3 linked regions of the Rhinolophus ferrumequinum genome follow. The protein of the gene in region 3 purifies or fractionates together with the protein of the main gene of each other region. This does not show direct contact. Links are inferred from orthologs where the notes say so. Each region holds a gene or a part of one and is shown on either strand. Other genes may lie near its edges. The genes, in order: UNC119, SH2D2A and LCK.

The links.
Region 1: the proteins of LCK (region 3) and UNC119 purify together in Homo sapiens (affinity purification with western blotting; 3 studies listed by BioGRID and IntAct, with this or other methods). This does not show direct contact. The link is inferred for Rhinolophus ferrumequinum from reciprocal best matches to the Homo sapiens genes LCK and UNC119.
Region 2: the proteins of LCK (region 3) and SH2D2A purify together in Homo sapiens (co-immunoprecipitation; 3 studies listed by IntAct, with this or other methods). This does not show direct contact. The link is inferred for Rhinolophus ferrumequinum from reciprocal best matches to the Homo sapiens genes LCK and SH2D2A.

The regions. Positions count from the first base shown.
Region 1 is NC_046304.1:18,869,340-18,879,489, forward strand, and holds the start of UNC119 (protein unc-119 homolog A), read left to right. Parts: upstream 1-6,007; 5' UTR 6,008-6,078; coding exon 6,079-6,304; intron 6,305-9,751; coding exon 9,752-9,865; intron 9,866-10,150. Other genes in the region: PIGS (GPI transamidase component PIG-S), read left to right, coding at 486-600, 2,033-2,178, 2,736-2,836, 3,594-3,804, 4,154-4,429. UniProt on the Homo sapiens protein: Involved in synaptic functions in photoreceptor cells, the signal transduction in immune cells as a Src family kinase activator, endosome recycling, the uptake of bacteria and endocytosis, protein trafficking in sensory neurons and as lipid-binding chaperone with specificity for a diverse subset of myristoylated proteins.
Region 2 is NC_046305.1:1,170,596-1,180,417, reverse strand, and holds the start of SH2D2A (SH2 domain-containing protein 2A), read left to right. Parts: upstream 1-6,057; 5' UTR 6,058-6,142; coding exon 6,143-6,176; intron 6,177-6,777; coding exon 6,778-6,938; intron 6,939-7,600; coding exon 7,601-7,785; intron 7,786-8,365; coding exon 8,366-8,455; intron 8,456-8,642; coding exon 8,643-8,811; intron 8,812-9,822. UniProt on the Homo sapiens protein: Could be a T-cell-specific adapter protein involved in the control of T-cell activation. May play a role in the CD4-p56-LCK-dependent signal transduction pathway. Could also play an important role in normal and pathological angiogenesis.
Region 3 is NC_046292.1:22,134,175-22,143,770, reverse strand, and holds the start of LCK (tyrosine-protein kinase Lck), read right to left. Parts: upstream 4,244-9,596; 5' UTR 4,118-4,243; intron 1-4,117. Other genes in the region: protein FAM167B, read right to left, coding at 6,279-6,509, 7,186-7,443. UniProt on the Homo sapiens protein: Non-receptor tyrosine-protein kinase that plays an essential role in the selection and maturation of developing T-cells in the thymus and in the function of mature T-cells. Plays a key role in T-cell antigen receptor (TCR)-linked signal transduction pathways.

The sequences.
Region 1 (10,150 bases), on a different chromosome or scaffold from region 3:
GTATTCACCAGTTGTGCCATCCTTAAGGAATTTATTTAAAAAACAACAAACTTCCTGAAATGTGTTATGTAGTAACAATAACGATGTGACAAATGTAGCTTTCTGTATCATACAATGTCCTTTGTGGGAAAACGGGGGAGAAATCTTTATCAGGTCTTGGTAGTGGGAGTCATTGTGAATACTTCTGAATAACTGACTTGATTTGATCTTGTGGACACTGAATTATGCTATTCTTTGTTTCCCTCTTTGTTTAGGCTGTTAGGAAGCCTGGTAAATGATGTGGTTTTCAAAGAACATATTAGTGTTTTAACTTTAGCTTTGGCTTTGTTATTTTTTTCTACACTCATTTTCTCTCAGCCCTGATTTTGTCTCTTATATTTTGCCCTGTTGTAATTGTATCTTTTTAAGGCACCTCAAATCTTTTTGGGCACAAAGTGGAATATAAATTAGTAAACAAAATAACATCCTCCCTCTTTGCTCTCTAGATCCTTTACTATGCAGTGTTGGGAGTAAACCCTCGCTTTGACCCAGCCTCCTCCAGCTACTACTTGGCCGCACACAGCCTCCCCCATGTCATCAACCCGGTGGAGTCCCGGCTGGGTGAGCTCTGAGGATGAGGGTCTTTTCTGCCCTTCTGGGGACGGACCCTGAAGGCTCCGCGTGGCGTTGGAGGCGGGTTGCATATAGCGATGGTTTCCAGGTTGCGTTGGTCGGAGGCTGTCAAGGAAGTGCTAGGCATTTGGGCTCCTTTTCATGATACTCTGTTCACATCTCCATCGCCACACCGTCATATCCAAAAGCATTTATTAAACATGTTTCCCAGCACTTTTTATAAATGAATGGATAGGCTGTGTCTCCCTCCCTGTGAATCATCCAGGAAAAATATGGTCAGATCCATAGGAAAGACAACAGCAAAGGTACACGAAGGCAGAATTTGAGTTGACAATTCTGCTGATTGAGGTTAAGGAACTTTGAAGCTAGGATTCCAGTTTTTCATTTTTGGGTTGGTACCTAGGAAGAGTGGGTGTGACCAAGAACTGCCATACAGGCAAACCAAAATGAGTATATCACTAGCTGTGGAATTTAAGACATCAGGGCTAGGCCAGGGTGGACCAAGGGGTATGAGAGGGACAGCACATGAGGCCTTAGCAAGTTCCTTCCTTCTTTCTTTCCTTCCTTCCTTCTTTCCTTCCTCCCTCCCTCCCTTCCTTCCTTCCTTCCTCCCTTCCTTCCTTCCTTCCTGCCTGCCTCCCTCCCTTCCTTCCTTCTTTCTTTCCTTCCTTCCTTCCTTCTTTCCTTCCTCCCTCCTTTCCTTCCTGCCTTCCTCCCTTCCTTCTTTCCTTCCTCCCTCCCTCCCTCTCTCCCTTCCTCCCTTCCTTCCTTCTCCTCTCCTTCCCTCCCTCTATCCCTCCCTCCCTCATTCCCTCCCTCTGTCCCTCCCTCCCTCCGTCTCTCCCTTCCTCATTCATTCAGCAAAGTCTGAGGGACTGCTTTGTGGCAGTGCTGAGTACAGAGGTAAAAGGGCATTTCAGACAAGAGAACTGGGCCCAGAAGTGTAGTGTGGTTGAACTGTGACAGTGACCGAGATGCTGCTGGCCTGGCAGGTGGGCGCCAGATCAGAAAGGACCACGTTAAGGAGCTAGAACCTGGTATAAATGGCTAGCCATTGAAGGATATTAAGCAGGGAACTGACATGAGGTCACATTTATACTTGTGCATAAAAAGAGTTATAGTAATACGGGTGCAATGCGGCAGGGCCAGCAGAGCTGTCTCAGACAGGTAAGGGGGGCCTGTTAGAGGAGAGGAGATTCCAGGGGCATTTGGGGGCTAAATTCATGTATGTGGTACATCTTGGGAGAATGTTCAGAGATTCTTTGCCACCGAAACTCAGGAGTGGAGGATAGCCTAGTGATTATCAGCTGGGGAGAATGAGGTCCAGCGTGAGTGACCAGCCAGGTAGAGGCCGACCTGAAACGAAGATCTAGATCCAACATGTTTTGATGTTCTGACTCCCCTTCTCTTTGTACCACAGGATCCAGCGCTGCCTCCCTTTACCCTGTGCTCAACTTTCTGCTCTATGTACCTGAGCTTGCCCACTCCCCTCTGTACATTCAGGACAAGGACGGGGCTCCAGTGGCCACCAACGCTTTTCACAGCCCCCGCTGGGGCGGCATTATGGTAATAGTCACAATGCAGACCCAGAGCCCAAGCTCCAGGGACAGACACATATTCCCTGAGATTATTCTCCTGTCATTCCTCTGGTGTCCTCCGTGGCCTAGCCTGGGGAGAGGCAGGGCACCTACGAGGTGAGGGTGCTGTGAGCTGTGCCCCTCCTCGGCCAGCCCCACTGCTGCTGCTTTCGTCAGTATTTCTCTAATGACCCTTAAGCAGTTTGCACTTACGGAGGACCCTTCTGTGTACATCATAGATCTTGGCCCTATTTGTGGGAGTCTTGCAAGGCTGGAAACTTCGTCTGCCCTGTTAGACTGGAAGTTTCTCAAGGGTAGGAACTCTAAAATGGAATAAAATGACCTCTTTTACAGGACTTTTGAGTGGGTAATGGAGATCATTTATGGAACGCTCCTAATCGGTATTCAAATAATAGTAGTATACCGTCAGGTTTGTCACTTCTAAAGAGCACAGACTATATCTTCCTTTTCTCTCATGGCCTCCAGAGCGTACAGGGCAGAGCTGTACACGGTGTGACACTGAGGCCACCTCATTTCCTGTTGCAGGTGTACAACGTGGACCCCAAAGCCTACAATGCCTCGGAGCTGCCGGTGAAAGTTGAGGTGGACATAGTGCGTGTGATGGAGGTGTTCCTTGCTCAGTTGCGGTGAGGTCCTGGGTGATCCCCTTGGGGGCCTGGCCCCTGACCCTACCACAGTCTCCTGGGCTGACTGGAATGACATCTCACCTAGCAGAGAGACGTTGGCTCTGCCTAGAGCCCGAGGAAACCAAGAAAGGTTTTCCAGAATCACTTCATCCTCCTAAGAACTAGTTGCTGACAAAAACTGCTTGAAGAAAAATAGACTCATGAATGTCAGGGAGTGTGATTAGGGGTGCTTAAGAAAAGAGCTGTTAATTCTTGTGTCAGCTGCCTGATCCCCTATGTTGAGGATTGTATGGCTGTGTCTGAGCTCATCAGGAAAGAGGATTCTGATTGATTAGCAACGTCTGCTCTGGGTGCAGGATGGGAGAGACGCAGCACGTATGTCTTGTCAGAGGTGGTCCTGGATCATCGCTTAACTAAGGCTCTATTGGCCCTAGTTGTCCGAAGAGAGGGTAGACAGGGTGAGAGGGGATTAAACCATGTTGGTGTTATCAAAAATGTTTTAGCCATGGAATCTTTTGTCAAACAAGATCTTGGAAATCCAATATAGAAACAGGTAAAAGCTGAAATACTGGTTAAAGCAGGGCTTGGGCACTGGATTGCTTAGTGTTGCCACTTACTCCCCAAGACCCTAAAGTACTTCCCTAAACCCCTGTGGGTCTGGATAAGATTGGAAATCTTTGTGGTTTTTGTAGGAGTCTTAGTCATTCTTCCACCTCCTAGTCTCAGCCCCTTTGACTTGACTTCACTGTTCCTACAGGCTGCTCTTTGGGATTGCTCAGCCCCAGGTGCCTCCAAAATGCCTGTTTTCCGGGCCTCAGAGTGAAGGGCTCATGGCCTGGGAGCTAGACCGGCTGCTCTGGGCTCGGTCAGTGGAGAACCTGGCCACAGCCACCACCACTCTTACTTCCCTGGCCCAGCTTCTGGGCAAGATCAGCAACATTGTCATCAAGGACGATGTGGCATCTGAGGTAAGCGGGCCAGGGATGGAGTCTGTGGCCCAGGATTGGGGTGGCCAGGGTGTGGTGAAACAGGCCCGTTCAAGTCCAGGGTATGTGTGGGCATGCCAGCCTTGAATGTCCCAGGCTTCCTCTAGAGGGCAGTGCCAGCCCCTCTGCAGGAGTCCAGAGGGGGTGGTGGGGTGAGGTTTTAAGCAGGCACTCAGAAAATACACCATAACCCTGTTATACTGGCCTCCGTATATCCTGGGCGAGTTCCAGGCAACCTGTCTGCTAGATGGAAGACACGGTAAGGCCCATCACCCCGCACTCCGCTTCTCCAATGCCTCGGACTAATTGGTAATCCCCTGCCCCCTCCTAGGTGTACAAGGCTGTAGCTGCAGTCCAGAAGGCAGCGGAGGAGTTGGCCTCTGGGCATCTGGCCTCTGCCTTCGTTGCCAGCCAGGAAGCTGTGACGTCCTCAGAGCGTGCCTTTTTTGATCCATCCCTTCTCCACCTCCTCTATTTCCCTGATGACCAGAAGTTTGCCATCTACATCCCGCTCTTCCTGCCTATGGCTGTGCCCATCCTCCTGTCTCTGGTCAAGATCTTCCTGGAGACCCGCAAGTCCTGGAAAAAGCCCGAGAAGACAGACTGAGCAGGGCAGCATCTCAGTAGGAAGCCTTTCCTTCTGGCCAAGGCGGGAGCTGTTAGACTGAGGGGCCTGCCATGAATGACTCTTCCCAGCCTCCTCTGTTGCCTCTCCAGCAACCAAAATATAACACTCGAAGATGGGTTCATCTTCCCTTCCCTTTCCATTCTTCTGGCTCATGTGTCCCCACCCCCATCCTCACAAGACGTATCATCTGGGTCTCCTTACCTGGCTTGAACCTGAAGGCCCTTTTCTATCTCCCTCTGGGGCAGCGGCAGCTTGTGCTCTGCCCTGGTCCTCAGAGTCCTCTTGCACTGACAGGGAGCATTAGGGGAAAACCTAGGTTGGTCTCTAGCCCCTCCCCGCCACACTTCTCTGTGACCCCTCAGGGAGAGCCCTAGCTCTGCTCTCATGGAAGGAGCCAGGTACAGGTCACCTCCAGCCGCTTCTCCCTTACTCTCCTCCCTCCTGGCTAGCTACTCCTGTTGGGTACAGCCTGGTGCTGTGTGTGTGGTAGAGGTTCCCTTCCCCCTTTCATAGAGGCAGTGTGATGCAGTGGAGAAAGTTCTAGACTTGGGATCAAATATGCCTGAATTCAAATCCTTGCTTCTGCACTTGTCATCTGGGGAGCTTTGAATAAGCTACTTAATCTCTCTGAGCCTCAGTTTTTCATTTGTTAAAACAGCACTAATGATACCTCTCTTACAAGGTGGTTGTGAGGATTAAATGTGATAAGCATTTGAAAATGTCTGGCATATTCCAGGCTCTCAATAAACACTGAATGTGAATTGGTACTTACCTTTTGTTCTTTATTCATGTGTAAGCAGTGGTTTCCTAGCATCTGTCCTCCTGGGCTCACAGGTCCACCCTGCTTCCACCTGGCATGTGCCCTTCCTGCCTCCCTGTCCTGGGGACCCTGTGGTGGCTTAGACACCGAGGCGGTTGTCCCTCAGCATGTCCTGGTTTGCCCAGCGAGGCTGCTAACATCCAGTTCTGCTTTTTAGCGCAGAGTCTGGGAGAGAATAGCTTGTACCAGTGGAAGCCCTCAGATACTAACTCATTCACAAATGGAAAAAAAGAATATATTGAGCAAGGGCTGCAACAGGCACTGTGCGAGGTGCTGGGATATTATAGAGAACACATAGGATCCCTGCTTTCCCAGAACTGATCTTTTAGGGGGCAGAGTCGTGAACAAGTAAAACTAATTTCAGATAATGCATTAAAAAGGAAAAACAGGCTGATCAGATAGTGACTGGGGTTAGTCCTTTAGATTGGGTGTGAGGCGGAGCCTTTGAGCAAGTGACATTTGAGCTGAGACTAGGACAGGGTGGGGAAGAGCATCCCAGGAGAAGACCCTGAGATGCGAACTCGCTTGCGGGGCAGAGTGGCCAGAGCACAGAAGAGGTAGCCAGGACCCCTTGAAAAAAATGAATGAAGCCCAGAGCGAGCCCTCACCCTACGCAGGGTGACTACCCCAGGTCAGTGCGCCCGCAGCTTTTCAGCTGGGGTGGGCTGGCGGTGGGCGGGGCCAGGGGCGGGGCGGGGCGGTACCTGGGGCTCCGGCCGGGGGTGGGGCTGCGGACGCTCCCCCTTCTCCGCTCCAGCCGGCGCAGGCAGCGGCGGCGGCAGCAGGCGAGCCGCGGCCCCGCGAGGCCATGAAGGTGAAGAAGGGCGGCGGCGGGTCCGGGACGGGGGCGGAGCCCACTCCGGGGGCCTCGGGCCTGAGCGTGGAGCCCAAGCCCGACCCGCGGCCGCAGGCGGAATCCGAATCCGGGTCCGAGTCAGAACCGGAGGCAGGCCCGGGGCCCAGGCTGGGGCCGCTGCAGAGGAAGCAGACGATCGGGCCGGAGGACGTGCTAGGGCTGCAGCGGATCACCGGCGGTGAGCACCGGCGAGGGAGCGCCGCCCGCGGGAAGGAGGGGGCCGGCGCGGCGCGCGAAGCCCCGGCCCCCGCCCCCCTTCCCGCCCTCCCCCTGCCTCCCCTCCCCCACCGGGGTACCCTCGTCTGTGTCCCCTACCCTCTTGCCTCCAAGCCTGAGATCTCCATGTCCCCTCTTCCCCCGATCTCCTGTGCCCCTCCTTTAGTGATTTATTTCCACCCCGCTCATTTTTGAGGAGTCCATCCCTCTTTCTCGTGGTGGAGGTGGGGCAGCAGCTGCAACTGTGACCCTTTCCCCATGGAGTTTTCAGAGCCCTTTGAGGCCTTTCTCTGCAGTAACGAGGAGGGGCGCTGAGTGCAGTCTGTCCCCATTCCCCACCCTGGAGGCTAGGAGGAGGCTGAGTTACATTAAAACCCTTAGGTCTCTCTGACCGTTAATGCCCTCACCCTGGATCCCCCAGGAAGTTTGGGGCCATCTCCCTCCCCAAGAAAGGACCTGAGCAGGAATCTTCATTGAGTTGGCTCTGGGCCCTCTCAAGGGAGTGGGTTAATGCCCGCCTTAGCCTGGACTAGGGCCTGTCCCCTTCCAGGAGGCCTAGAAGGTCTCCACTGTGGTTGAGTTTCTGAGCTGGACTGCCTGGGTTGAAGTCCCAGCTTTGCCATGTAATTAGCTGTGTGACCTTGGGCAAGTTACTTCACCTCTCTGAACATGTTCATCTGTAAAATGGGGATAATGACACCTACCTTATAGAGCTACTGTGAAAATAAATTCTGATTATTGCACAGTGCCTGGCATGCTGTGCATGCTCTGTAAATAGGGCTCTTTTATGAGTAATACTGAAGGCCCCACAGGACTGTTCATGGCTGCTGCCTGGAAGCAGACAACTGGGCATTCAGGGCAGGAGAGGCGGTCAGCATCGTCAGGGAACAAGGACTGGGAAGCCTCATGGCAGAGGTGGTGGCTGAGCCTCAAAGAACAGAAAGCATTTGGAGAGGCAGTGGCTCTCTACCTTGGCCTCATTCATCAGTGACCCTGTCCTGGCTCCCTCTGTGAGAGCAACTCTTGGGGCCTCTCTGTGGGGGTGGGGGTGCTAGAGTAGACTTGAGCTCTGGAGCTGCAAGAGCAGCAGAGCCCAGGGCTGCCAGACAGAACCATGGAAGGGACCATGATGGCAGGGCTAGGCCTGTACATCTGGGTCTCTGGGGGACCAACTTCTCCCTCCTCTCTGAGCTAGGCAGCCGCCATTCTTGGCTGGGCCCCCAGAGTGTTGAGCTGCCTTGCCCAAGCAGACACGGGTAGGGGGAGGGGGCCTGGACCAGTCTAATGTTGGTGCCAGTTAGGCTGTAATTGTCAACAGCAGCATTTAGGATTCAGGTTAGCTCTGGGGCAGAACTTCCTTATAGGATATCTGGGGGTTAGGACAACCTATCCAGGTCCTAGGTCACTTTAGAGGTTATTTTGCAAATATGGGGAGTTCTAGCCGACATACCACCATATATTTCCTAATTTGGAGGAAATTCATAACCCTTAAAGATGGATATCTGTGGGTGGTGAATAGGGGAAGGGGTTTCATAGGAGCCCTTTCCTCTGTAGAAATTGAGAACAGGGTGCCAGAGCTTTCCACCCTGGCACCTCTTGGTCTCTTCTGACCCTAATCACATAGGTCTGAGGTTTGCTTCTCCTGGATTACTGGACCATGAATCCTGCTTTGGAAGCTATTTGTGGCAGAGGGGAAGGGAGCAGTTGTATTCTGAGCCCTTGGCTACTGCCCCTGGGTTCCAGGCCTTGTCCTTCCCTGGCAGAAGGGAGGGAGTGGCTGTGGTGTCCTGAGCCGTTGGCATCCCCCATTCCTCACTCCCTCTAAGGACAGAGGGATTGATAGGTTGAGTTTGCAGCAGAAGAGACTGAGGTCAGACTGCGAGAAGTTGTTTCCAAATGAGAGAAGCTCCAAAAGTTGGAGACTGGAGGGAGGGGGGCTTTACAGGGAGCTGGGATCCTGCCCCCGGTTCTGCCACCTCCTTTCCCTGTGCCCTGCACCTTCTTTCTACATCTTTGGACTGGTGTTTACTTTCTGTGAAAATAAGGGTGAAGTAGGGGCTGTCCGCTTCCGTTCCTACTGCCCTCTCCCTACCATGGGCTGTGGTGGACCCTCCAGGGCTCAGGCCTCTCCCCAAGCGCTATGTCATCCCTGCTGGACCCCAGGGTGCTAGGTGGCTGCCTGGAGGCCTTCCTGGAGGGGGTTGCCCCGGGCTTGGGGAAGAGAGAATGACTTTACATTTACTTCCTCTTCCTGCCCCAGAGGAATAGGAGGTGGCTTAGGGGCCTGGAGGGTGATTTCCGGGCCTCTATGGGGAGGATGTGAAGCTGTGCAGGCTGACAGCACCAGAGCCCCTCACTGCCTCTCTCTGCTCCTTCCTATTTGTTGCCAGGGCCTCCGTGACCACTTGCAGTTGCTGCTACAAAAGCAGTGAGGGTTGGCTCAGGCCCTCATATTCCTGGGCTTCCTCAGGTGGGGTTCACCACTGTTCCCGGTTCCCCTTCTGGGCACTGAGGACTCCCAGATACCCCTATGCACACCCCCTGTTGCACCTGCCACACCCTCTTCCTGTCCTCCCTGTACATATTCTCTCTGGGAGTGGCTCAGAGCCAAGGCTGGGTAGATGACCTTTCAAGGGGTTCCCTCTATTTGCTAAGACTTCCTCCCATTTGGAGATCAACGGGATGGGAACAAAGGTGGCCCCCTTCCCCCAATATTCCAGGCTCTGGGCTTGAGTCAGCAGAGCTTTGGCTAAGCGGCTTAAGGGAGCTGAGCTTGTATAAGCTGCTTATGGGGAGAGGAGGCGACTCGTGGGGAAGGGGGAAGAACAGGGTTGAGAAAGACCAGGGAAGGTGGAGTTCATCTGCTCCAGCGCTACCCAGGTCAGGGAACATCCTTGCCTGACATACCTAGAGGTAGCAGCAGGGGCTGCTATGTGGTAGGGTGGGGGTATCCTTCAGATAAGGACTGTGTCTCCTTAGGCTGAACTGTGTCACTCACCCCTTTTAGACTGAGGTTTCCAAAGGCAGGGCTGTATCTTCCCTCTCATGCTGGGGGCTCCCTATTATATTGAGACCTATTTGGCTCAAAGTCACCAAGCCAGCACTGGCAAAGCAGAGGCTGGAATAACGGCCTCCACTCCAGGGTAGGAGGGAAAATGTGGGGGAGGTGGCCTTCTCCTTCACCCTTCTCCATCCTGCCCCGCCCTGACCCCAGAGGCCACTAGGTGTAGCTGTTTCCTTCCCCATTAGATCTCAGGGACAGAGCTGTCTCCCCCACACTGTGGGGAGTTCCCCCAGGGCAGGAGCTCAATTCTTTCCGGAAGGCAGTGACCTTAGGGATCTGAGAAAGTAGTAGCTAGTCCAGAGTCCCACAAAAGCTGAGCTGGCAGCAGCCCCCTGTCTCCCCTAGACTACCTGTGCTCCCCCGAGGAGAATATCTACAAGATTGACTTCGTCAGGTTCAAGATTCGGGATATGGATTCAGGCACTGTCCTCTTTGAAATCAAAAAGCCTCCAGCCTCAGGTGAGTGGCCAGGTGGGCCATTGACAGGGGGTGGGTGAGAGCTGTGAAGTTGGCTGCCCAGGGACTCCTAAGGCTGCAGAGGAGTCAGTAGACCTGTGGGTTGGACCCCAGCATTCCCAGGAGTTGCCAGGCATGAGGGGTGCCTCTGCCTGGGGCTCAACCACCTTTTTCTTCCCATATTTTTCTGGAATTGGACATTTTAGGATAGTCCCGTCTCTTCAGTCTCTAGCTTGACCTCTGCAGGCCCCCCTGGGAACTGCAGTCCTGGAGGCCCCAGGCCTCTGT
Region 2 (9,822 bases), on a different chromosome or scaffold from region 3:
TCTTTCCCAGCCTGGAAATACCCTCCCCCTCTGGTGAGCCCCTCCCCCAGAGCTGCACTTCCCCACCGACTCAGAATAGTACTTAATATCAATAATTCCTTACGCTGACAAAGAGCTTTCTACTTCCAAAGTGTGTGTATGTTAAAATCCACTTTAGAGAAGATGCATCAGTGATCCAAGAGGCACCACGACTTACCTGAGATCCCACAGCCAGTTCCTGGAGGTCCCGCCCCTTCCACCAGCCACCCACCCTGCCTCAAGGGCTGAGATAAGCTGACTGGTCCTTCCATCCCTCCTTTGTCTCGAAATTACATCTTCCCTGTCAGCCTTCCTCTTCCAGCTGCAACCTGCCATTCCAGCGTCAGGACCACCCCAGCCTGATACAAATGCCAGGATTCCATCAGTCTAGACTCTTCCCTACCCACTGGTTGGCACCCAGCTGCCCATCACCTGGCCAGTGCTGCTGGGACTTGCTCTCCCCATCCCCACCCCCAGCCCACCCCTGGTCCCTGAGGCTCCCCGATGCCCTTTCTGACCTCTGCACCGTCCACCGGGCACCGTGTACCTGCTGCTGTGTACATGGGGTTAGTGTCAGGAGCGCCCTAGGAGAACAGAAACCACGGTAGGTATTTGCACAGAGAGTATTGAATAGAAGAGACTGGCTGGACTAATGTGGGCGGGCTGAAAATCACAAAGGGAACATGGTCACGCAGAGATCACCGCAAGGAGAAGCCCCACCCCTAGGCTGGGAGAACAGGCAGGTGATTTGGGGGTTGTCAGCACCTGGACACTCAGGTAGGGCTCTCATAGAGGTGGGACCAGGTCCCAGAGGAGGTGGTGTTACCCAGCTGGTGCAGGAGGGACGTGGAAAAGAAGCAAATGAAGCAGCAAGGCCCCAACTGTGTCCCTCTGCGATGGAGAGCCCGCTGGAAACATGGTTTGATTTGCGGAGTTTCAGTCACGGCCTCACAGAGCACAGAAGGGAGGGATTAGAGCTGGGAGCAAACAGGCAAATGACCTGCAGCACGATCGTTATAGCACTGAAATGCACTGAGCACGGCTGCACCTGACACGCGCTCTCACACACGGAGCAGCCTGGGGGCTCCGTGATGATCCAACACTCTACACGAGGAAGTGAGAGAGTTTGCCCAAAGTCCCACAGCTAATAAACGACGGAGACGGGACCCAAAGAGCTTCGTCCCTTATGTCCCGCTGTCTGCAAGGTGCCCACACTGGGCTAAGGAGCTCTGGCAACAGGTGGACATGTGTGCTGTGGGGAGGGACTCTGGCTTGTGCAATTGTCAGCCCCAGCACCAAACTGCCTATAGCACGCTGGGACACACTGAGCCCTTCTCACAGTAGGACCTGCGGTGGGTGACGAGTCACAAAGGCGGGGCGAGAGCTGGGCTGAGCCCTGGAGGAATACCCCATGTGCTGGGCGCAGGCTCGCGGACAGGATGCGGCCCCCTCAGGAACTGTGCTAGGGCCACTGCTGCAACAGGACTGAGGTGACACTGGACCTCAGCACTGCCCTTCTCAAACCTTCAGTGGCTCCCTGGTGCCAACCAGCTAAAGACGAAGCTCCCACGCAGGCTGCCCCTCGGCCGCTCTCCAGCCCTCTGCCCTGCACACCCACACTGTCCCCAGAAGCCACCGCAGCTCTCAGCCTCCAGGTCGTCACTGCTCCTTCCACCCAGAATGGCCTCCATTCTCCTCCACCCCGAGGATCGCCTCCTCTCTGAAGCTTTCTTATTTTACAAAAGATCTTTATTAAAATATAGCTAACATATGCTATTATATGAGTTTCAGGGGTGCACCATAGTTATTCAACATTTCTATACCCAAAGAAGTGATTTCCATGACAAGGACAGCAACCATCGGACACCATCCACACTGTCACCGTATTGTTGACTAAAACGACTACAGTCATTTTAATTTTTCAGTTACAATTGACTTTCAGTATTATTGTATATTAATTTCAGGTATACAGCAGAGTGGATAGACATTTATATAATTTACGCAGTGATCCCCCGAATGAGTATAGTCCCCACCTGACACCACACGTAGTTGTCACCATATTATCGACTATTCCCTGTGCTGTACCCCACATCCCACGACTACTGTGTAACAGCCAATTGGTGCTTGCGAAGCCTTTCCTGACCTCTCTCCCCCAGACCCTTTTGTCCCAGGCAGGAGGACCACTCCTTCCTACACCCGCTGAACCCCATGCTTCTAGCTTAGCTCCTGTCATTCTGAATCGTCTAGGATTGTTTACCTGTGTATCTCCCCTACCCGCATGTCTTATTCTTGTAGTCCTTGACACGACCTCACACTCCAGCACATAACTGATTGTCAGTGGCTGCTCGATGAATGAATGATAGCAAACCAGCCAGGGCAGAGGGCAGAGAGGAAAAAGTACTGAACCAAATCTTAGGGTAAACCTACCTCCTAGTCTGCTTGAGCATTTGCTTCTCCTGGCCTCAGTTTAGCTCATCTGTCAAATGGAAAGTCCACTGCCAGGCTCACGGCAGGATGCCTGAGCTGGGACATCTGCCAGCCGATCTGCTTCCTCCTTCAGAGGCCGTGGGTGATGTTTGGGCTGCACGCGGGCAGTACCAGGAGCCCGCAACACTGGCTGCCATGACTCCCTCTCAGGCACAGCGTCTACACGCTGGACCATGCTGGACGAGAGAAGAGGGGACCTGTTGAGCCCCATCCCCTCTAGACCTCGAGTTCCAGCCCCCAGAGTCTATGAGGTGCCGACACCCTGAACATCTTCCTGTCCTGACCCCAAAGACGCCCCCTCAGCTTCACAGATGCCTCAGAACGCCTGGAGCTTCCCTTGCTCCTCTGGGGACCCTTGAGACCACCAGGATCCTCTCCACTTGTCCATGGTCTCCCCTCCTGGTGGCCTCCAAGCACCATGGGACCTGACCCTCAGGCCACCCAGAAGCCCCTCTGCAGCCTGTGCAAACTCCCAGCATCCAGTGTCCTCACAATCTCTCTGTACCCCTCTGGGCACTGCCCACTCCGGACACACGGCCACTGGCCGCCTGGCACGGGGACTCCCTACAACCCTCCTGCCACTGCTGCTCCTGCCAGCTCTCTCCTGGGTGGTGTTGGGATTCAGCCTGAGGAAACTTCTGGCAGCACACACGTCCCCAAATCACCCAGGCAGGGGAGAGGAGAAGGAAAGAAGTGGGGCGGCAAGGGGGTCCAACCCAAACCCCACCTGCTCTTCACATAGCCCCGAGGCATGGCCCTGTGCTTGGGGCGCCCTTTTCACCCTTGACTTCTAATCAAGTTCCAGCCCAGGTGCCTGGGGACTCCACGGCCTGGGCCCAGGCCTCCAGACAGGGACAGCGAGTGATTCCATTTTAAAAACGAAAACTGCTTCCGCTGCAATTATGACAAAGTGTATGGAGTACTGGGCATGGTTTCTAGAAGCGTGCGGAGCAGAGCGGGATTGCAGCCACACCGAGCCGCGCCTGGGCATCACGAGGCTGCACAGAGACGCTCCTGCCGCTGTGATCCATTCCAGGGCAGGTTACAGAGCAGCGGACAATCAGCGTGAGGGGTGGGGACCTAATTCCAAGCAGCACCAATCCCCTGTGTCTCCTTCGCAGCGGGATGGATGGAGACAGAGCCCGTTTCCGGGCTCCTCCCTGTCCAATAGGCAGAATCGCAAGGTGGGGTGACCAGGATTCTGGATTCTCTGCAGAATCTGGGCTGGGAAGGCGGCCCTGTGGGCTGCAGGGGCTGTGCAGTCCCTCCACGCCCTTCCTTTCTGCCTTTTCCCCTGTTCCCATCTCCCCCAACACCTCTGTAACCCAGGCCCAGCCCCAGTTACAGCTGGGGGGGTTGTTCTCTTCACTAATCCTCTTTCTTCAGTCTTTCAGAAAAACACTCGACCTCTACCTGGAAGGGGGCTATGTGATCTCACGGACCTGAAGCTCCCTTCTTGGGGAATAAGAACACATGTCTGTACAGGACACATGTCTGCCCTGCACTGTGGTGTGAGCGTTGACTTGCAGGTGTGGGACACACGTGTACATGTCCTGAGAGTCTCTTCGTCGACTCCTTATTTCCAAAGTCTTGCCACCTCCCTCAGAGCACTTTCCGTGCGGCCTGAGCTGACTGAAGTCCAAGGTGAAGTCCTAGGTCTTCACAGAGCACACCCTGAGCCTGTCTCTCTGTGTCCTGACCGTAATCCTGTCTCATCCCAAACAGCGCACAATGCAGGAGCCACGGAACCTGCTCCCTGAGTGAACACTGCGTCCAAAAGACGCAACCACTTCTAAGTCCCTTCCTGTGGCATAACCTTGACCAGTGGACAGTGGGAGGGAACAGGCAGCTGGGGAGGTAAGTCCCCTCCTTTCTCCCGCCTGTGGACTTCTTACTCCAAGGTGTGGTTCTACCTTGTACCCTGTCTGGACAAGGGCCCCTTTGCCAAGTGAACAAAGCCCATCAAGCAGCCATGGTGTCTGATTGCGGCTCATTTTGAAGTGGTAACCAAAGCAGCAATGTTCTTTTGCATGTTTTTCTTGGGTCACCCCTCTTTTCCTCGTCCTCCTCACCCTGAGCGTGTACCTCCCAAGGAGAGGGTCCCACTTGGATGCTTGCATTGGGACCTGCTAAGACACTTGCTAAGCTTGCCCTGCTGACTGGAAAAATGAGCTGGGTGCTTCCTCTGTCTAGTAGACAGTAGACGGCAGGGATTCCCACCAAGCTGGTTCTCCTCCCCTTCGGGGCGTATGGAAGAAGGCACACCCTTGACTCTAGAAATGAGCCCGGCCACGCGACCTGCTTTCACTACTGATGTGTTAGCAGAAGGAGCGCGTTTCATTCTGGCGGGGGAGGGCATTTAGGAAGCAGTGTGCCGTTCCTTGTGCCACTCTGTCCTGGGTGCAAGGCCGCACCCATCCAATCCGGGGGTGTCCCCTCCAGCTGCATGACCACCGGTGGCAGCCCTAGTGCCACTGTCCCAGCAGCTACCCTGCAGCACGCCATTTCTTCCGTGCATTTCACCCGTCTTCTAGAAACACCTTTCCCCGTCTTCCTCCACAGCACAGCTCAGTATCTTTTTCTGACACCCCAAGCCGCACACGCGCACCAGGGGCTCCCGGGGGCCCGCCCACACCACTAACTCCCCGCTGTGAGTATTCATGGGCACATCCATCCCGCCCCACACAATCTGAGACAAGATCCTTTTTCTCTCTGGGTTCTTTGCACCAAGAACAGTGCCTGGCACAGAGCATGGACCGTTGGCTGTCACGGCGCGAGAGATCTAGGTTTGGCTTCAACCCTTTCACCAACTTCTGAGACATGGACGGACCCTGGCCAAGGCGCCGCTCTGAGCTTCAGCTTTCCCTTCTGGAAAATGGGGATAATGTTCGCAGTCCCCTTCTCGTGTGTGAGCATCACAAGAGAGAGAAACTAGTCCTCTGGTGGCATTTAAGACCAGCACTGAATAAAGAACAACAAGGGCTAACAGTGGCCCAGCTACTAGGGGCCTGCCCAGCTGGAGGCCACCTCCCCCACCCCTCCCCCAGGATTGCTGGCTTTGCCCGCCCTGACTCAGCTCCTTATCTGCTGGAGGATGAAGGCAGGCCCCCTCCTTTCACCTCTCCTCTCAGATTTTATATGACCTCAGAATGTCATTCCAGAAGTCTGCCCGCACCCTTCCTGCTGCAGCACTGCCCGCTCCCCTCCTAGCTCTCCTCCTCAGGTGTCCTAAGAGGACAATCCTGAATATAAACCTCCAAGGATCCTGCAGCCCTGAGGCTGACCTCCCCACTGCCACTGCTCAGGGCAGAAGCAGAGAGAGAGGGGGAGTCCCGGTCTGCAGGGAGTGGACAGAGAATCGGGGAGCCAGGTCAGATGGCAGTTAGGACTCCCCAACAGCCAGGCACAGAGTGACACAAAAACCCACCACCACACCGCCACCACCTTTAGCTTCCTGGCTTCCGGGGGAGGGACCAGTGTCTTACGACTTTCCATGACGTGGGTCCTCTGCCAGGGCCAGGGCTGTGGGGAGGCGACATTTCCTGCCCTGGGGGCTGGGGTGACAAGCGAGTTGCTGAGTGTGCACACCTTGTGGGAACACACACACACGCCCTGCTCCCAGGCTCCTTCTGCACCCATGGAGTTCCCCCTGGCCCAGGGAGGCCCCCAAGGTACGTGTGACATTGAAGAATGTGTGTCGGGGGGGACAAGACCACCAGGTCCCTGCTCTCTCTCAGGGCCAGAGCCCCCAGTCAGAGGACGGGGCCCCACCCAGAGCTGGAGCTGGCAAGGCTGATTGCTGGTGCCCACAACCCCTCTTCCTTCTCTGGGGCTGCAGGTCCACTCAGCCCTGAGAACAAAGGTGACAGGGTCTGCTGTATGCTTCTTAGGGAGGAAGGAGGAGAGGGCAGGAGGGAAAGGGGAAGGCGCAGAACGCTGGGCCAGAGGAGGGCCTGCCTTCCCTCCCTGACTGTGGGACCGACTCCGGGCCACCGGAAGGCCAGTTGACATCTCAGATCCCCTTCGTGGTACCGTTTCCAGGACAAGCCTCTCTGCTGCCTCAGCCCTTCTGTGCCCCCTGGGCCCCTTACTCCTCTTCCCTGAGAAGTGCCCCATGTCCCACCTGCATTTCTCCTCCTGTCATAACCGTCCCTTTCCTCCAGGTCCCTGGTCACAGGCATGCAGGGCCCCTCTAAGCCTGCAGGGCATGGGGGACACGGAGACAGGCAGCCCCTCACTGAGAAGCCCCAGCTGTCCTCTTTCTGCTCACAGGGAACCGCAAAGCCCCCACGCCAACCTTCAGCACCTTTCAGCCCTTGGATGTCACCAGCAGGGGCTGCCAGGGCCTGGGGTTGCTTCCGAGGGCCAGGCTCCAGGCCCTGAAGGTCGAGGAGGCCCAGCCCAGCCCCAGAGCCCCTGCTGTCCACGCCTCGGTGAGTGGGGGCCTGGGCGTGCAGCAACTTCATCTGCCCTCAGCCCTCCCCTGGGGGAGCACTGGCAGATGGACAGGGGTGGGAGATGGCAGGGGTGATGTGGGGCACAGAGGGAGGGAAGGAGACAAGCTGGGAAGCTCAGGCTGAGTCCCAGGTGACCAGGGCACAGTGTCTGAGTCCGGAAGCAGCCATCTACGTCTTTGTTCACGGCCTTCGTTTGCCCAGCACACCCTGGTCTTCTGGCCCTGCCAGTGCCCCCTCCTAGGTGAGCGCTCCCTCATTCTGGCCTGGGGGGGTGACCTCCTGCGTCATTCCTCAGCCCAGGGAATGACCTTCTGGCCACTGGAAGGCCTCGCCACATTTAAGCACAGCCTGCCACTTGCTGCTGCTGGAGCAAAGGCCCAGGAGCAAAGCGGGGAGCAGAAGGCCTGCAGGGAAACCAGGACAGTTGGAGCTAAAGATGGGACTTAAGTTAGACCTTGGGAAGGGCTTCCTGGGCGATTCTACCCTAAAACAGTCAAGTAGGATGGGGGGTTGGGAGTTTCCACCCCACGCCCAGGAGGGGCTGGGGGTGAGGATGAGAAGATGGCCGCTGGCGTGGAGGCAGGTGCAGGCCCACTAGTCATGGCTCCTTTCCCTCCTGGAACTCTCCCCCTAACCAGGCATCTCCCCAGGCCCCAGGGGCTGCCGCCAGCCCAGAGGACACTGGAAAGGCTGACGAGGGGCCTAGGGAAGGAGACCAGCCCCTGCAGGCCGAGACCCGGGCTTGGTTCCAGAAGACCCAGGCCCACGGGTTCCTGCAGCATGGGGCAGCCCCTCCCTGGTTCCACGGCTTCATCACCCGGAGGTGAGTCACGGAGGAGGAAACAGGCCCAGAGAGGCCTGGGGACAAGTCCTGCGTCTCAGGAGTAGGTTGAGGCTACGAGTCCAGGTATATCTCCTCCTGGAGGCTCCCGGGGCCATTCACTAAGGCACCTCTCCTGGGGGAGATCGCGGAGAGGCTCCAGCCCAACCCCCTCAGTGCCTCGGTTTCCCTTCTCTAGGCTCAGTTATCCTCCCCTATCTAAGGCCTCGCTCCTCCTGGTCTCCGCCTGTGTCCCTCGGGCTCGCCCAGCCCTCTGCTCTCTCTTCCCTCCCTTGCAGTTCCTCAGTTTGTTTCTCCTGTTCCTGTGTTTGCCTGCTCTGTTCCGCTTGTAACGTGTGACATCTAAAAGTCTATTGCCATCCCTGGTGCTGCGCGGCCCTTCCAGGACAAGGCCAGGATGCAGGGCTGGAAGCTGTCCTGGGGGGCCCACATCCCCTCTCCCACCTCCACTCTTCTCTAGCCACTTCAGCCTGCTTGGTTGGGGGTAAGGGTCCCCCATGAGAGCTGGGAGACAGCAGAGGCTGGAAGAGTCAGAGCAGCGCTGTCTCTTCTCCACACACAGGGAAGCCGAAAGGCTGCTGGAGACCAGGCCGCAGGGGTGCTACTTGGTGCGGTTCAGCGAGAGCGCCGTGACCTTTGTGCTGACTTACAGGTGAGGGGCGGGGCGTCCCGCTAATCCGAGGGGCTGAACTTGTCGACCCCTCTTTGCTCCGCCCCCCTTCTCCCCACTCCCCACCCCTGCTACTGAGAGTGGGACACCCTGGCACAGGGCGGGTGGCGCTGGCCGGGGAAAGGGAGCGGGTCGCATCCCTGGTCGCATCCGGACTGGCGCCCTCCAGGAGCCGGACTTGCTGCCGCCACTTCCTGCTGGCCCAGCTTGAGGACGGGCGCCACGTGGTGCTGGGTGAGGACAGCGCCCACACGCGGCTGCAGGACCTGCTGCTGCACTACACCACGTGCCCGCTCAGCCCGTATGGGGAGACGCTCAGCCAGCCCCTCGCCCGGCAGGTATGAGCCACCCCCTGACACCGCCCTGACTCTCAGCCGGGGACCTAGGCCGTGCCCCTCCTCACGCAGAGCTCAGGCCGCAGGACAAGGCCCTTTCTCCTCACAACAGATTACCCAGCCATGCCTCTTGCCCACACGTCTGGGCCGGAAGCCCTTCCAGAAAGATGCACGCTCGGGGAGGGGCATTAAGAAACCATCCCCGCCGCACAGAGCCACCAGGGGCTGAGAGTGAGAGTGCCCAGACAGGCGCATGGGTCATTTGTTGTTTATATTAAAAGCTGTTTACCGAGTGCCCGCATGTACCAGATGCTGGCAGGCCCTGGAAAAAGAGCCAGAGACAAGACAGCCGGGTCCCAAACCCACAAAGAGTGGCCATCAAGTGTGAGGGTGATGGGAGGAAATAGAGAGTAGGATGCCGCCACTTACCTGGCAGGCAGCCATGTCTCCTGGAGGAAGTTCAGGCAGGACCACTCTATGCCAGCAACCGTCTGGGCACTGGGTAAACAGAAGGAAACCAAAATATCCCTGCCTTCATGGAGCTTACATTCTGATGAGAGGAGACAGACAACAAATACATAATATAGAGAACACATAATCCGTCCAGTAATAAGTGCTGGGAAGAAACACCAAGCTGTGACAGGGAGTGACGGGTTTGGGGCTCTTCTACATGGAGACATCAGGGAAGGCTGCTCTGGTAAGGGGACATTTGAATGGAGGCCTGAATGAATGAAGGGAGGGAGTCACAGCAGACAACTAAAGGAAAAGCCTCCTAGGCAGAAGGAACAGCAGGTGCAAAGGCCCTGAGGTAGGAGGATGCTTGATGTGTCTGAAGAAGAGTGAGAGCAGGGAGGAAGCTAGCATGGGTGGTGAGGTGGGAGATGAGGTCAGAGAGGTGAAGGGAGGGGGCCCTATGGACTCTTGTGTGGATTTGGGATTTTATTCTGAGCTAAAGACTTCTCAAGCCTGTTGCATTTTTACAACCACCGGCACAAATAGAGACTGGCCTGCCCT
Region 3 (9,596 bases):
GTTCAACAATTTGACTTGGAAAAAGTCCTGGAAGTACACAGTGTTTCCCAATAAAGTCCTGTTCCCCTTCCCCAATAAAATTTTTTAAATAAATAAATAAACACATAATATGATACAAAAATTCACATTTGTAAACGTCCATTCATTACCCCCTAAAATCACTCACCCTCATCAATGATACACAGGCCATATTTGGGGAAATGCTGTACTGTGAGACAGAACTTTGGGCTTAGGCCTCTGTTGGTGAGCTAGAAGAAGCACAATTTTCTTAATTGGCCAGTCTATTGATGAAAATGTAATGGGTACCTCTTATGTGGCAAGCCCTGATCTAACGCTGGGGACACAGAAGATTCCCGTCCACTTCATCCTGCCCTCTGACAGAGGTGGGTGCCGCTCTGGCGGAGCACTCTTTTACAGGAAGCCATAATGCTTGTCTTTACTTTAGCTCACTGATCAGTAATGTCTGACTCCAACACTAACACTAACAACACAAAACAGCAATACTTGCCAGGAAGTAGCGTCTCAAAATCACCACCATTACTCACTTACCAAGTTAACGAAGTCTAGTTAAAACTGTTAAAAATATGGGGTAGATCTCCATGTATTGACATGGAAAAATGTCACAGACATAACAGGGTAAGAAGTTACAAAACAGAATGTAGAATATAAGCCTATTTGCATTTCAATATGTATATATAGGGGATTCTTTTAAGCCGGGCTCTGTGCAAAGCCTTTATTTGCATAGTTTCATGTAATTCTCATAATAATTCTATGAAGTAAGTGCTATTATTATCCCCATTTTGCAGAGGCAAAAACTGAGGCTCAAACGGGGTAAAGCGATTTGTCTGAGGCCTCATAACAAACAAATAAGTGGTGGAGTGGCAATTTGAGCCTTGTTCTGCCTGTCTCCAGAGACTAGGTTCTTAACCGCTAGGCTTTTCAGTAGCCATACATAAGAAATTCTGGAAGGACGCTCACCAAATTGTTCATAGTGAGCATATCCCAGAAGTAAGATTGGAGGGAGCTGCATTTCTTGTATTTCTTTATATGCCTCTATACTGTTTGAAGTTTTAAAAACAACTGTGTGCTAATTTTGTACTTGAAAAGCAAAAAACAATAAAACCACCACCAATGCAAACACTGCCAGAAGAGGATCATTTGAGGAGGATCAATAGCCTGCCCTTCCATTCCTCTCCTTGTCTCAAGAACTGTAACCATGGAAGAGGTACTACTGGAAAAAGGTTCTGCGACCAAGGAAGTTTGGGAAACATTGGGTTAGATAAAATCAATCTGGCTCCTTCTGAAGGGACTTTCAGAGCTTTCACAAGCTTGACTGTGAAGTTAATACAAGACAGTTTGTAGCTGAGGCCATGTTGATTTGGCCCGAGAACCTTTTCTTTCCAGGCACCTCTGGAAATAACATTCTTTAGAGCAAGCATTGGAAATGCAACTCCAGATGCTTTAAAACCAACACTGAACTTGGTTGTTAGAGAAGGCCACATCCCTGGATATTGTTGTGGTCCTACGTGTCCCCATGCCCCCCATACACTCAGCTTCTCTGAGCATTGCTTTCACTGAATGAAGCTTGGCCTTGAAGCCATCAGCTTGTGGGTGTGTGTATGGATTTGTGGGGTCCAGTGTGTGTTGTATGTGTAGACCCTGCCTCTGCCTCTGAACATACATGCAAACACACACAGACACACACACACACACACACACACACACATTTTCCACTGACAATATGTATGGTGTTTGGGATAGGGTGTGTATGTGTGCGTGTGTATACCCTGCTTCCCCAAAAATAAGACCTAGCCGGACCATCAGCTCTAATGCGTCTCTTGGAGCAAAAATTAATATAAGACCTGGTATTATATATTATACTATATTACATTATATTATATTATATTATATTATATTATATTATACTATACTATAAAGACCCGCTCTTATTTTACTATAAGTATAGTAAAATATAAATATAGTAAAATAAGACCGAGTCTTATATTAATTTTTGCTCCAAAAGATGCATTAGAGCTGATTGCCCAGCTGGGTCGGTCTTATTTTCGGGGAAACATGGTAACTGTGTGTGGGACCCTCCTTTAAGGTAGATCTGTGGCCCGGTCTAGAATTCTCACACCCATTATACACAGGAAACAAGCTAATTTGCAAAGCCACAGCACAAGTGTGAGGGAATGGGTGGTTCACTGGCCTCCCAAAGCGCTGAGTAGGAGTAATTCTGGGTGTGGACAGTCCTCCGTTTGGTAAACTACTTGCAGGAGGAGAGAGTGTCAAACCTCTGTCAAGCAACTACTATGTGTCAGAAAGATTCCTGGGTCCCCTGACTTAAGCCTGTTCATCACCCTGCTCCATGGGGGTCACAGCCTAGACCATTACAGGGCACATCACAGTCATTATTATCTCTTTGATTACCCACAAGCACTCTGTAAGAGAGAAATTCATTATTGCTTCTATACAGATAAGTAAACTGGAGTTCGGGGAGGTGAAGCCACTCGTTCAAGGAAATAGCAGAACTGGAATAGTACCTTAGCCTGCCCGACTCTGAAACGCATGCTCTTTGCATTGACTCTTGCATTTGATCTTGCTTGCAGGTCTCTGACCTCATGGTACCCAAAGAACAGAACCCAGGGACAGTGACCTTGGCTTCATGTCCTGGGAACTTTCCAAAATGGACCTTTGTCCTTCTCAGAACTGCGCTGACTCTTCCAGGAAGCCTTCCAGGTAACCTAAGGGATGGCTTCTCCCAACCTCTAATGCTCAGCCTGTCTTCGTGCCCATCACTTGGCCCTTTTACCCTTTGAGAAGAACCACTCTCCCTGAGCCCCAAGGATGAGGAGCCCTGAGTCATCTACAAGCATAGGCTGGATGGGGGTAGGGGGCCTGCTCATGCCTGTTCAGGGTGTGGATGAGCCCCCCTGAAGTGCAGGAAGAGCCAGCGTGTTCCTCAGCCCCCACAAAAGTCTGCAGGCCTTGGAGCTGGGGACAGGAGAAGGCTGGGACGTGCTGACTAGGTGGAAATTGTGTGTCAAGAAAAACTCCAATGGCAGGGGAAACCTGGAAAGTCTGGTGCAGGTGGGGACTCTCCCCATAAACTGAAGGCTGAGAGTTGCACAGTGAGGGGGTGGGCAGGTAGCTGACTATGCTTTCCTGGGGTTTGAAGCAGGAATAATCCGCAGGACCAACTGGCCCTACACATGTAGGAGCTGTGTGTGTGGCTGCAGCAGGAGTGAGCGAGGGGAGAGGGGAGGACATCCTGCGACACTTGGCAGGGGTAGGGATGGCAGCTTTCCAGATGGGAGCTCAGACGGTCCTCGCCCAGGGCCAACTGCATCCCTGTCCTGGATAAAAATAGCCCTTCCTCTCACCTTCTCCCCTCATTCTCTCCCCTCCGACTTCCCAGCTTCCGGTCAGATACTTCCGCCCTGGAGGCCCCATTCCAGATGATAAATGTGCCCTCGCATTTCCATCTGCTCCAAACGGGAGACACCTCCCTCTCCCAAGCAGTGCTGGTCACTGAGGCTAAAATCACTTCACACGTGTCCATTTGGATGGTCTGGGTGACTCTGATCTCTTTCAGGAGATTTTTGTCCCTGGGCTCTGACCCAGCAACCAGAAGGATTCCTGGATCCCCTGACTCAAGCCTTTTCCTCTCCCTGCTCCATGGTGGAGTGGGGGTCATAGCCTACACCATCACCCTTTCCCAGGGCTCTGCCACTGCCTTGCTGAGGGACAGCAGGGAGGGAGTGCCTTTGCCCTCTCTGGGACTCAGGAGGCTCATCCACCATGGGATGAGGGACTGGACTTGGGGATTTCTGAAGGCTTTGTCAATACCCGACAGGCCATGTGCCAGATATCCCAGTGAGGTGGAGGTGGATGGCCGGCCCTGTGGCAGAACCAAGAGCCAACAGCTACAGAGGAAAGAATTGATCTGGCTGCACTGCATGCCTCCTACCTGACCTCCAGCAAGTTTCTTCTGTGCCCCCAACCCCAAGACTGAAGGGCTGCTGCATACCCAAGGAGCCTGGCCCCGTGCCCAGCTGCAGCCCCCTGCCATCAGGCCCCCACCAGCCCCATGGACCTCTGTCCCGGTACTCCTTACCTGCCCAGCCCAGGAGCCCTCTGGCCCCATTCACATGGTCCTCCTGGCCCAGCCTGGCTGCCCAGACAGAGTTTCAGCTCCCCTCACCGTCGTAGCCACCACCTGACTCCTCGCGCCCACGTCCCACCCTGACTTCCTGCCTCCTCCTGAGGGCTCCGCAGTCAACCGGGCCCCAGCAGCCCAACCACAAGCCTCTAGCACCCCAAGCTTCCTGCCACCATAGCCCCCCAACCCTCAGTCTCTGGGGGTCCTGTACGTCTCCAGGCCAGGCCCTGCTCACCCTGAGGGTGGTACTTGGAGGTGAAGGGAGGATATTTGATGGAACCTCCCTCCTGCCCTCCAGGATACACCTGGACAAAAGATTCAAGGGCAGCCTTTAAACCCCAATGAGCAAGGGCACGCAGACACACCCTCAGCTGTCAGTGAAAGGCAAGAAGCACTGTTGTCACAGTCTGCGAGCTGAAGGACCCTTTCATTACAGTCTGAGGGCAAAGGTAACATCATTTCAGGGGCAAAGGGGAGGACAATACCTCTGTTAAGTAGTTGGAGAGCAGAACACCCACGTTTCAAACATCAAGCTAACATGGCTGCTATAGTCGGAATAATAGCCATGTCATCTCAGGGCACAGGACAACAGCTTTATTATTGTCAGAGGGTAGGCTAACACTCCTGTTATAGACAGAATGCAGGACAACAAGCTGTTTAAGGAAGAAGGCAGGATAACGCTGTGTCTTTAAGAGGACAGGACGACACCCACTAATGATGGTTGGAGAGTTGGGGAACAATTCTAATTCAGGTAGTGGCAAGGCCACCAACCCTATTAGAGGTGCAGAGCCTGGCACCACCTCCCGCAACAGGTGGAAGCTAGAACAAACACTCCTTCTCAAGCACCCAGATGCAAGCAGCAGACTGGCAGCATTTTCTGTTACAGGCAGGAACCTTGTCACAGCAGCAAGCAGGCCAAGAATCTCCCTTTACCCGGAGGCCACACTGAGGGTGGCACCCATCATAGTCTGAGGGCCAGGTCATCAGTGTTATGAGGAGCTCCAGGTGGCCTTTATCAGGCCCAAGAGCTGGGCCTTGACCCCACCCAGAGGAAAGTATAAACACGTCACCACTGCCTGAGCCTACACTGAGTGAGCAGTTTGGGGGAAGGGAGCCCACAGAGCATTGTTGGGGTTTGTGAGGTGGAAGCTGATGCTGTGTGCACCTCAGCTGCAGAGGGAAGGGGGAGACAGGAAGTGGGTGGGGGGAAGAGGAAGCCTGAGTTGGAAAGTCAGACAAAGAGGGTAACACAGAAACAAAGACTGAGAGATACAAAGTGAAAAAAAACACAAAACCCAACTACAGTGACACAGAGCCCATAGTCTGGGCTGCAGGCGTCAGCAACCCTAGCTATGAACCTGAGCATGGCACAGGCCATCTCTGGGTTCAGCACAATAGTAATAACACCACTGCTGATAGTAAGGATAAGCAACAGATAGTTCACATTTACTGAGTGCTTACTGTGCATTCTCCCACTTACGAAACATCCACCTACTTGGGGAGTGAGAATTAGCACTGCCATTTTAGAGGTAAAGGAAATGATTCAGGAATTAAGGGACCTTCTCAAATCTGATAGAAACAAATGGGGGAGCTGCCTTTGAGTCCAGTTCTACCGGATTCTGCATTCTTCAGCTGCCCACGTACCCAAGTCACCTTCCATGGACGTGATTTAGGATTTTAAGTTTTTCCCCAGTTCTGATCTTGATAAGATAGAGCCATAGAGCTGGAGCTGTGGGGGAAATGAGGATCCATCAGTTCATTTCCACCCCAACCCAGGTCTTCTCTCTTGCAACGGAATCCCTGGTCCCAGCAACAGATAACACTTGACGACCTTGAACCTGAATAATGGCTGCGGAGACCTTGATGGGAAGCAGAGAGGGCATTTATTGAGGAGCCTGGTGGGTGTCTGTGAGCTCCTCCCCTAACACACACACACACACACACACACACACAACTGGGGCAGCAGCAGGGACAGGATGCTCTCAGAGCCCAGTGTGTACCCATCAACCCTCCTCCCTCACCAGGTGCTGGCGCCTCTGGGGCACCCCTTGCTTCCCCCTTTCCAGGTGGGCTGAGGAAGAGGTAGTGGGTGGCCCAGGAGGCATACAGGCACCCCTCAGCAGAGGGTGAAGCGCCGAGCACTGAGGTTCATGCGTGTGAGGCCGAGGTGCCGCAGCGGTGGGGGCAGGGCCAGGCCGGCCCCTGGCTCCAGCTCCAGCTCCAGCTGGGCCTCATCCAGCAGCTCTTGGTGCAGGTGACAGGCTTGGTCCACCTTCAGCCGGTGCAGCTGGGCCCGCAGGTGAAGCAGTTGCCCGGCCAGCTGCTGGTCCTGAGCCTGCATCTCCTGCTGTGGCAGAGAGGGGGCCTTTAGCCTGCTGCACCAGCGCTCAGCTGCTAGCCCTGTTCTTCCCTTCCTGTCAACACCCTGGGGCCTTGCACTGGATGTGTCCTCCACACCCCCTCTCACCCCAGCTTGATCCTCCCCTCTCTCTGCTCTTGCTCCATACCGATGGTTCTAAAACTAAGACAAGGAGCCATTGTTAAACACGTTCCTGGGGCCCCATCCCAGATAACTAAGTGGAATCTCCAATATGGAGCCTGGACATCTTTATATTTGTACATGTTAGGGTAAAAACCACCTATTTCATCTTTGCCTCCTCAGATTCTGTCTACAGCATGGTACTGACCATGCTCATTTTGTACTGACCTCATTTTGTACTTCACAGTGTCTTTGGGATATAGCAAATTCCCAGAGTAGGGGAGGCCATGCCTTTCCCATCTATACTGTCTCCTGAGCCAAAGAAGCACAAGGTCAGCAGACTGAATGGAATCCTTCAGCAAGGCTCCTGAATAAAACACTGAACAAATCCATTCCTGCTCCTCAGCCCCCAGACACAGCCATAGGAGTGGGCAGTTGCTGGAGGTGGGGTCCATTCTCATCTTTGCCCCTCACCTGTGGTCTTGGGCCCTTAGAAGTGCTATCCCAAGGCCCTCTGCAAGGCTGCCCACCCCACCAGACTCACCAGCTCTCGTCGGAGCCACTCAAGGGCAGAATCCACTGAGTCAAAGCCGCAGATGGCCCCAGGTCCCCCCAGCCCAGATCTGGCTTGGGCCCTCCGCCAGGCCTGGCTCTGGACCCGGGCTGTCCACTCCAGATATGAGGGCCGCCGTGTCTGCAGCTGCAGCTTAGCCGTCAGCGCCTTCACAGAGTCTAGGCTCTCTTCCTCCTCATCCTCCTTTTCTTCACCCACTGCCTGGAATTTCAGTGGCCCCAAGGACATGGTGGGTTTGGGGTAAGTGACAAAAGGCTACAGCTCTGGAATTAGGGAAAGCCTGGCAATATTGTTCAGGGAGAAGTGGCAAAAGCTGAAAGAAGTGTGCCAGGGAGTGTGTGTGTGTGATAGTGAATGCTCAAGGTGGCTGGAAGAGGCTGAGTGTATCAGGGTGGGTGAGTAGATGGGTATGGGAGGCCGAGTGTGCAAGGGCTGGGATTTTCCTGGACTGTAACCCTGGAGCCACGTGATGCCCATCTGGGTGGTGACAGGAGGAGCCCTGATCCTCTAGCCCCTTGGATGAATTTTATTGTCTTTGCCCAGAAGGAGACACCCAGTTCCCAGAAAGGAAGTTGCTGCAGGATAAGAAAAGCATCATCCACACCAGAGTCTTGGCCCTTTTCCCAACACCCAAGTAAGGGAGTGGGGGAGGGGATAGAAGGCTGACAAGCTGGCCCCATCGTCACTCATGGCATTGGTCCTTCAGCAAAGGAATAGTGGCCAGAGTCCTGGCCTGGGAGTCGGGAGACTTGGGTTCTGGTGCTGGATGTGGGGTCTCGACAAGTCACTGACTCTCTGTTGGGGCAGATCAAAGATTTCAAACTGTACTCTAAGGAACTTCAGGTTCCCTTGGAAATCCCTCAGAGACAGTGCCGGGTGAGGACAGAGCTGTGGATGGGCTCTTAGACCTGCCTCTCCTGGAGGGCCTCTCCCAGGGCTTTAACCAGAGCAGTTCCCTTTTGTAAACTTTGTACTGAAAAATAACATACACACAGAAAAATTCACCTATCATAAGTACACGGCTTGATGAATTCTCCCAAACTGAACACACATATGTAACCAGCACCCAGGTCAAGCAGCAGAGTTCTGTTTTACTAGCATCCAGGCTGGTACAGCCTTTGTGCTCCTGGCCTGTCACTTCTCTCCGAAGAGTAATACTACTCTAATTTCCAACAGCATAGATTAGTTTAGCCTTTAAAAAAAAAAACAAAAACACCTTTCTAGTGGTTATCAATCTGTAGCATGCATTGGAATCACCTAGAACACTTCTTTAAAAATACTGTCAGCCCCACTCCCAGAGTTTCTTATTTAGTATATGTGGGGTCAGGGGTGGGCCTCATAATTTGCACTTCTAACCAATTCCCATCCCGGCTGGTGCTGCTGGTCTGGAATTTTACAGTTTGTACTCTATTATCTGGTTCCTTTCATAGAGTAGTTCCAATTTTATGTTTATATTATGAGGGTCCATGTATGATTTTTTTTTTTTGAAAGAAGGGTTTTGCATGCCTCCTTCCCCGCTCCCCAACACACACAAGAGCTTGGAACCTAGTGGACCAGAAGGCCCTTTGAAGGCAGGAGTGGGTCTTCTTCCTCTTATGGTAATCAGCACTTAACACAGCTGTAGACATCAGTGTTTAAGAAATGAAAGAATTAGATGGATGAGTCCTCCAGTAAATCGGTTTAATCTCGTGTAATTTACCAGAACTGAAAACCTTATGAACAGAACCCTCCTCAGTCACCTTTGGGTTCCAACACCAAATATGGAACCCAGCTCAGTGTACCTGCAATTCATATGTGTTCAAAGGATGAAGTGATAGAGCATGGGGCTCCAGAAGGCAGGACTAAATCAGAAGTGGCCCCTATAGAGGGCGCCCTCAGGCAGAGACTTCCAGCTGTGGTAGGGGGAAGGAGCCGACTACACAGCTGCTTGCATTTAAGGTGGACCAAGGGATTTTCCCCCACCAGCCTCAGATATAGGGAGGAAGTAGGCAGTTACGTTTCACGCCCACACTTTCCACCCCTTCCACCAGGTCTAGGAGAAAAGATGGCATTTTTCTCTCCTTTTTAAATCAGCTGGAGTGTCAACATCCCAGTGTAAAAAATAAAAAAAATATTGAGTGCTTCCTGCAAATCAGGCGAGGTCAAGGGCTTAAGCAAGATTATTCTCCCCATTTCACAGATGACAAAATTGAGGTTTCCTTAACAGGCTCTGACTGGCGTCCACGCTAAGAGGTGCTGGCAATAAGAAGGGGAAATTCCTGTGATACTGTTCAATCTCTTCCTTCAAGGGGCCTCCTTAACAGCTGTCTTGCCGGCGTCGCCAGCTGCCCAGCCAGTTCCTGTCCATTTCAGAGCCCGCGCTCTTTCAGCCTGACACTACA